Oryctolagus cuniculus: one gene and its partner. The protein of the gene in region 1 interacts with the protein of each later gene in a biochemical or structural test. Links are inferred from orthologs where the notes say so. Each region holds a gene or a part of one and is shown on either strand. Other genes may lie near its edges.

Region 1 (4,231 bases):
TTGCTTAAAATCTTATTTTGTCTGATATCAGCATAGCCACTCCAGCTTTCTTTTTTTTTCTTTTTGAAAAATTTATTTTATTTATTTGAAGGGCAGAGTTGCGGGAGGAGGGGAGGAGGAGAGAAAGAGAGAGAGAGAGATGTCTTCCACCTGCTGGTTCATTTCCCAGATGGCTGAAATGGCCAGGGGGATGGGTCAGGCCTTGTCCAGGAACCACAAACTTCATCCGGGTCCCCACATGGGTGCAGAGGCCCAAGGATTTGGGCCATCTTTGCCTGCTTTCTCAGAAGCATCTGCAGGGAGCTAGATTGGAAGTGTTGTAGCCAGGACTGATGCCTGTATGGGATGCTTTAACCATTATACCACAACACGGGTCCTATGAATTCCTAGATTCTAAATAACTTTCATCATGGTATATTTTCTGAATTTTATTTTCCTATTCATAATTGTTGTTAATATCTTACTGTGCCTCATTTATAAAATACTTTATCAAAGGTATGTGCATATAGGAAAAAACACAGTATATGTAAGATTGGGTACTCTGTGTATTCAGGCCTCCACTTGCAGTCTGAGAACACACACACAGACAGAGACACATGCACACACACACACCAGTAATGGGGAACTGCTGTAGTCACCTCTGTAACTCCTCTCCTGCTGTTCTAGTCCAAGGCTGTATCAGCATCTGCCTGGGAGAACCCTGGTACTCTCTCTGAAGTCTTCACGTCCATTTGTGCCCCTTCAAATGTGTTCCCCCAGGAACTGGACAGTGTCTTCCACATGCTAATATGATCCCAATGCCTCTACTCCATCTCTGTGTGTGTGTGTGTTTTAAGATTTATTTTAATTTGAGAGTCAGAATTACAGAGAGAGGGAGAAAGAGAGAGACATCTTCCATTTGCTGGTTCACTCCCCAGATGGCTGCAATGATCAGGGCTGGGCCAGGCCAAAACCAGGAGCCAAGAGCCTCATCCAGGTCTCCCATGTGGATGCAGAGGCCCCCCCCCCCCCCCCCGCTGCTTCCCCAAGTAGTTTAGCAGGGAGTTGGGTCAGAAGCGGAGCAGCCAATGGAGGAACCAGTGCCCATGTGGGATGCCTATGCTGCAGATGGCGGCTTTACTCGCTACGCCACAGTACTGGTTGTTCTACTCCATCTTTCACTTAAAATACTAAAGTCGGGCACCTTTACTCAAAATTTCAAGGGTTCTTGCTGTATATTTAGATCAGAATTCTAAATATCAGCTGCTTATAAATGAAACAGGCAACATGGTACAGTTTTCAGCCTGTATTCAGTGAGAGAAATACACAGGAAAGTGAGGGTTTTTTTTTTTTTTTTTTTTTTTAGGGGAAAAGAAGTCTAGAGTAGAAAGAAGTCTAGAAATTAAGTTGGGTTGATATCAGGCAGAGAGCAGGTAGGGAACCAGGTGGAGCAAGTGTGCAGTTAGGAGCAGCCACAGGTAATGTAGCGTGGGCAGAAAAGCAGAGAGCAGGCAGCCAGAGGCCACAAGCCCAAGGCTTAGTGAGGTGGAATAAGGCCATGCCAAGATGGCCGCTGGCAAGTGAGTGTCAGTTACTCAGGAATGGCTTTGAAACCCACCTGGCAATGGAGCCTGCCGGGCAACAGGCTGTGATTGGTTAGGGCATAGACCGCCCCTTGACCGGATTGGCTGCCTTGGCTATATAAGCTGTTGTACCAACTGAAATAAATGAGCCTTCGGGCTGCTCACCTCTGGCCCACTTTCACCCAACTCTCAGGGTCGTATGGTGACTTGCGCCTCTTGCCCCCACCACACTCCTCATCTCAGAACGAATCCATAGCAACAGCGTGGGACAACAAGGGGCCACTCCAGCTTTCTTTTGGTTGCTGTTTGCATGATACGTATTTCTCCATTCTTTAACTTTCATCCAATTTCTATTTTTTAATGTAAAGAATGCCTCCTATAAAGGCATACAATAGGAACATAGTTTTTGTTTGTTTGTTTGTTTGTTTGTTTAATGCTATATAGCAACCTCTGTCTTTGGATTATTTAATACCTTTTCATTTAATGTTATCATTGACTTAGTTGGATTTATTTATGCTATTTTACTTTCTGTTTTCTATGTTTCAGGTCTTTTCTGTCCCTCTAATCTGCCCTTCTGTGTTTTGGAATTGTTATTTTTGTCATTATTTAGTGTTTGCCCCAGATTTACCGTATACATATAATCAGAAGTAGGTTCAAGTTTATACTAGCTAGTTGCAGTTATTCCTGTATACCTGTATTCTCTCTTCTTTTCTTTTGTGGTATTTTACACAACATATTTAACATTAGTTAATGTTACACACCTAACAGGACATTGTTATAATTATTTCCTTACCATTTGTTCCCATTGTCTTAGTCAAATACAACTTTATTTCCACTCACTGCCTTTGTGCTATTATTGGAGGTTTCACATGTATTACATTCCTATATGTTACGGGCCCAACATTCCATTTTTTATACAATAAGTTAATAAGAGAAAATATTCACTTAAATTATCTTTTACAACTAGTTATAAAATTATCTCTCTGGTGCTTTTTGCTTTGTTTTGTTTGTGGATTTGAACTACTGCCTGGGATCATCTGCTTTCATCTGAAGAACTTCCTTACGTGTCCCTGTAAGACAGGTTTGCTAGCGTAACTTCTCTACTTTTTGCTCCCTTGGAAATGTTTTTATTCCACCTTCATGTTCATAAGACTGCTCTGCTGAGTAAAGGATTTTTGGTTGCAGCTTTTTCCTCTGGGAGGTTTGACTGCAATTTCCAGTGCTGCTGGTCCTTAATACTTTTACTGAGAAGTCATTGTTGACCTTACTGATGTTTACTGGTAATTAAGGAATTGTTCTCTTGCCCCTCTCCCCACCTGCCTTGTCTGACTTTGAACTTTTTCACTGTGATGTGTCTGTTGTGGATCTCGATGTGTTTACCTACTGGGACTTCGCCGAGCTTCCTGGGTGTGTAGCTTCCTGTTTCTCAATATATTTTTGAAGCTTACTGCCATTAATCCTTTGAATAGATTTTCCCCCCTTTGTCACCTTCCTCTCCTTCCAGTATCCTTATTTTATTGGTCCCACATTTCTCTGACACACTTTTCATTTTTCTATTCTTTCTTTCTGTTTCCCTTGGCTTTGTGTAGTCTCAATAGATTTATCTAAAAGTTAGTTTATTCTTTTTTCTACCAGTGCAGATTTCTTCTACTGTGGGGCCCCTAATGAAGTTATTTCAGTTACTATACTTTACAGTATTTCCAGAATTATGCTGTCCAGAATTTCTATTTGGTTTATTTTTATAATCTCTGCTGCTTTATTGATATTCTTTATTTGATGTAACATCAAATAGATATTATCATTGTAACTTCCTTTACTTTGGTTATACTTTTCTTTAGTTCTGTAAACATGTTTATAATGGCTACTTTGAATTCTTTCAAAATGATAAATCCAACATCCGGTCATTCTCACAGGTGGTTTCTGTGCTGGATTTCCCCTCGCCCCTGCTCCAGTGTGTGGGTCGTATTCTCTTGTCTCTGCGCGCCTCATAATCGTTTGTGAAAGCAGGGCACTGAACATAATGCACTGTAACAGCCCTCAGGACTGGTCTCTCCCCAGTTACTGTTACAGACTGTCCTGGTCTTCTGATGATTTGACTTAACACTTTTCTGGCTTTAGATATACAAAAGTGGTATGCATTTGAGAAGCAGCTGTACTTCAGATTTCGAATTTTGATCTGTTCCTAGGGTGGCAATATGGAGTACAATTCTCTATCATGATATTTTCAACAGTAGTAAGCCATATCTCCCACTAGACCACGGATCACAAGGGTATACTGCACTGGGTTGCTAAGCTGTGATGGTTGGTAGGTTAGATGTATTAAATCCATCTTGACTAATGATAGTTTCAACTTTTGGTGGGTTTGTAAGATAAAAACCCTATCATAAATTGAGAAGCATCTGTTTTTGCTTGTTTAGTGACTGCATTACCTGAGGCAAATTCACTGCATACCACCAGCACCACACACAGTTTTAGTTTTTTAAAGTTGTCACCTTGGATGGCAGTGGCTTCTGACAGAGCTCTCTTCCTCTGGTTCCCTGACCACCTCCAACTGTTAAACTCCGCTAACTGCTGGCTTTGTTCCTTTGTTTTTAACAGTACCCTGGATATAAGTAACTATATAAACAAATCCAATCAAATGTGTACTCCTTTGAAGGAACAGGTATTAG
Region 2 (4,285 bases), on another chromosome or scaffold:
CCTGCAAGCCCCTTAGCGCCCAGCTCCTCACCCGAGTGTGTGCCGGGCTTAGATGCTTGCCTCTCCCTCTGCCTGGAACTCCTAAGATCTGTGCAGGGCTGCAGTGCGGGCTCAGCTCAGCCGTCACCTTCTCTGAAAGGCGTTCAACGCTCATCCCACCTGGCGCAGCCTCTGTTCCCTCTGTTGCACTCCCCACTGTCTCTATTCTTTCAAGCTTCCTAAAACCACCTCAAAACAAGTTCCTCGTCTGTTTTACTGGCTGGTTCCCCACTAAATACAAATTTCATGAAACACACACCTCAGCCCCACCACCCTGTGTCCACACCTACGAGGGCAAACTGCCTCTCTGAGCAGGGTCTTTCCTGCCCCTGCACAGCGGGGCCAGCGCAGGACTGAGGACGTAAGGGGCTGGGCCACCACCGTGCCCTCCACTACGGTGGTCACAATCTTTATTACCGATGCAGCCAAATTCCACAAGCTCACCCCTCCCAAAGCCTTGTCTCCTCCCTCTCGCGTCTCTCACTGGCACTGCTGGGAGGACTGGAGCTGTGGGATGGACAGACAAGACCACAGCGGGGCCCTGCGGAAGCCTGCCCCCCCACTCGCCCCTACCTGGTCGGCGCCGCTTGCGCGCCAGGTGCGGCAGCAGGTCATGGCGGGCCAGCACGCGCAGGAGTTGCCCCAGCAGGCGCAGGTTGCTCTCGTCGCACTGCCCACGACGCTCCAGCTCCAACAGCAGCTCCAGACCGCTGCGGGCGCGGGCCAGGCCTCCGGCCGCCCCGGGGGCCTCGTCCAGCAGGAAGGCCAGGAGCTCCAGCTCGCACTCGGTCAGTTGCCCGCCCACCACCTCGAACATACGGTGAAGCGACAGCATCCCGTAGTAGTCTAAGCACTCATCCTCCTCCCAGCTCGGGGCCGGGGTCGGCCCGGACAGCGCCATTACCGGGGGAGGGGTGCAGGACAAGCTCAGAACCAGGGCCTAGAACCCACACGGCGAGAAGAGGGCACGGTGGTCAGCGACGCAGGGGCACGGACCTCGCACCGGTCAGAGCGAGCCCCCCCGCCCCGCGCCGCAGGGCAGGGCCGCCCCCGCACCTCCAACCGTCTCGGCCTCCCCCTCCCCCGGGACGGAGTGGTATCATCCGAGGTCCCCTAGTAACAGGTCGAGACGCCGGACCCCGCTCCTCCGCCGACCAGTCCGGCCGGCCTAGCCCGAACGCCCCTCCCCAAGTGGTACGTTCCGTACTGGTCTCCAGACCGACCCAGCGATTCGGCCCGAACCAGCCCCAGGGCCCATTCCAAAGCACCCCGTCTATCGCCCCGACTCTGAGCACTGCTGTCCGGACATGTCCCTCGGCTCGGTCCAGCAGTACCGTGCGACTGGCCCCACAGCCCCACCCAAGTGGCCCCCTCCAAGTGGGACCGACCGAGGCAGCCCTACGTCCCGCACAGGTGGTACCGTCCGAACCCCACTCCCTCGCCCCGACAAGGGCGGTCCCGGCTTCTCCCCAGGGCCCCGGGGGTTCCGTCTACCCCGCCACCAGTCGCCCTTAGGCCTCGCCCGATCCTCACCGGATTCCGGCGTCCGAGGACTCCCGGGCGACGGCCGCAGCCACTTGTTTTGGATCTTTCTGGCACCTTCTCTATTATTACGCCTGCGTCATCTCGCCCCTCCTCCGCCTCCCAACTCGCGCAGGTGCGACAGCCACGCCCCGTGCGCGCAGGCGCAGAATGAAGCCTCCTAGCACCGCCCCTCCCGGGCCGCCTGACCCGCCCCCAACCGAAGCTTCCTGGCCCGCCTGTGCTGCGCATGCGCAATCGGAGAGCTTAGCCCTGCGCCGCCGCTGGGCTGGGTCCTGCACCTTGGGGGCAGGGTCCCCGCTTCCAGCCGATCACTTGAGCCACCAGGTCCTGGTTGCCCCCACATCACGCCGTATTAGGATGACTCATCTCACGGAGCGCAGCACCCCTCCTGATCACCACCTAGACTCCCACATTTACTCCTGCCCTTGCTGCCCATGGCAAAGGGCCTTCCCAACTCCCCAGCTGCGCCCACTGGACCCTCCCCCACTCTTCATGGCAGCCAGGAGCCTGCTTCTTAACTGTGGGGGCTCAGGACCCCGACCGGGGAACCCCACCTCCACCCTCTGATGGAGACCAGGAATCGCCCATCTCGGGTTCGAGACAAAGCGCAGTGAACCCCGCCGTCCCGACTAAACCTCCCGGTGGCGCTCACCACGACTCCCCCAGGCACAGGGTCGGCGTGGACCCCGCAGTCGGAGTCACACAGTCGCGCCCTCCCCAGCCTGCACTGAGGAGCCTGGGTCCGGCGGGGGGACCCGCGTCCCCGGGCCTGCGAATGCTGCCCCCACTTAGTGACTCAAGGTCGAGTCGTGTCCCCTCCCCGGAATTATTTCCGCCTGGGAGGCGGCAGACGTGACTGCTGCTTGGGGTGCAGGGCTGTACTAGGAAGAGCCCCTCCCTCCCCTCTGGGCCTCAGTTTCCCCATGAACGCCTGCGGGATGGCCCCTGGCCGGACACGGAGCGGGCGCCTCCTCGGGGAACGGGAAAGCGACCTCGCCGACTGCGGCGAGCATGGCCGTGTTCGGTGGGTTCTGTCGGGCCCTCTGCCGAGCCCTTTTCCGTGTGTGGTTTCATTCCATCCCGTCAACGGCTTCTGACGTGGATGTGAGTCCGCAACACAGGCCCGGAGAGAGGAAGTACCCCACGTGTGTCTGGCCCCAGAGCCAGTCTCTCCAGCCGACCTGACACACTCTGATCGCGTCCACCGCCCCGGGCCCACGGGCGCCCACTTCTTTCGACTGAACTTTCGGCAGCGAAGGAGCGGCCCGGGAGAACTGCGCAGGCGCCGCGCCTCGGCCCGGGCCCCGCCCACAGGGCACGACTGTGTGCGTGGAGAAACTCGCAGAGCCCCACCTGAGCGCCAACGCGCAGGCGCAAGGGCGCGTGCCCTCCGCTGCCGGCTCTGATTGGCCACTACGGGTAAAGGCGCCGCCCAATGGGAGGCGTGGATAGTGAGGGGTCCCACACGCCTGGAACCGAGGGTCTGTGTTGAGAGCGGCAAGGGGCTGCTGGAGGCGAAAGAGACGGGTGAGGGCGCCGCGGGACGGGCCCGGGAAGAGCGCGCCGGGCGTGCGGAGAGGGCAGAGGGAGAACGAGCCGGACACTCGGGGTCGGAGGAGCCCTGAGGCCTGTTCCAGGGCGGAGACAGTGCGGGGTGGAAGGAGAGCGCCCTGGAGCGTGGTGTGCAAGACCCCGCGCTTGAGCCTGCTCCCTCGCCCGCAGCCCTGAAGGAGGGTCTCAGGCTGGTAGGAGAAAAGGGTTGTGGAGCGGGAAAGTTGAACTTCCAGGCCCCCTGGCTGGTTCTTTCCTGGAAAGACGCCGATCTACTGTACGAAAAGCCCCCAGCCCTCTCCCCCCCAGAGTTCACACTCCCAAGACTGGCGACGAGGAGGGTCTCCCGGGTCATCTCCTACAGAGGCATCTGTTGGGTACCCGGGAGTTCTCTGGAGCAGAGCTTGAACACGGAGAAACGGTTCTTGGGTCCCCGAGTCCCTGCTTGGCGGGATGACTCTCGTGTGCGGGACCCTGGCAACTCAAAAAAAAAAAAAAAAAAAAGCGAAGTAGGGCATGGGAAGAGGTAGACGAGGGGAGTTTAGTTCCTGGACTTTCAGGGACTCCTTTATCCAGGGAGGATGCATTGTGCACCAGCTGAATCCGGGGCCGTTTGTTAGGCCGCGTACTGTGGGAAGTCGCTGCCTCACGGGACAGTCGGGCGGGGGGATGTGGAAGGCGCACAGGGACGGTGGTGATGCCCAGGGGGCGTGGCTGTCGCACCTGCGCGAGTTGGGTATCTGCCCGGTGCCGGCTGTGTGCTAGGCCTGTGCGTGGCCGTGGAAGTTCCTCCCTGTTGGCAACTCCTGCTCTGCAGGGCTTAAGCCACTCTCCCCATGCCACCCCCCCCCCCCCCACAGCGCTAGCTGAGGTGAAGAAGAGATAACCAAGGTGGGGGGGTTGCATCCAGCTTTCCCAAGCTGGGGAGGGAAGCAGGCGTTTGCTGAGCGGCCTGCGAGCTCCTGTGCGAAGGGATCTGGGTTGGTCAGGTGCACACAAGCAGGGGTGGGGGAGACGAGGCGAACGGAGGGAAGTTTGAAAGCTCAGATCCCTGTCCCTGGTCAGTGGCTTTGTTGGCGACTGAGATCCCCCACACACACTGAGTCGGCCCAGTTCGGTCCAGTGAGACGGCATCCCGAGCCCGTGGTGT

Evidence for each region.
Region 2: the proteins of CFLAR (region 1) and DEDD2 form a complex in vitro, tested with the Homo sapiens proteins (2 studies listed by BioGRID). The link is inferred for Oryctolagus cuniculus from reciprocal best matches to the Homo sapiens genes CFLAR and DEDD2.

What each region holds. Positions count from the first base shown.
Region 1 is NC_091434.1:38,896,882-38,901,112, reverse strand, and holds the start of CFLAR (CASP8 and FADD-like apoptosis regulator), read left to right. Parts: upstream 1-1,320; 5' UTR 1,321-4,231. UniProt on the Homo sapiens protein: Apoptosis regulator protein which may function as a crucial link between cell survival and cell death pathways in mammalian cells. Acts as an inhibitor of TNFRSF6 mediated apoptosis.
Region 2 is NC_091449.1:12,806,522-12,810,806, forward strand, and holds the start of DEDD2 (DNA-binding death effector domain-containing protein 2), read right to left. Parts: upstream 2,834-4,285; 5' UTR 1,813-2,833; coding exon 1,573-1,812; intron 980-1,572; coding exon 613-979; intron 1-612. UniProt on the Homo sapiens protein: May play a critical role in death receptor-induced apoptosis and may target CASP8 and CASP10 to the nucleus. May regulate degradation of intermediate filaments during apoptosis.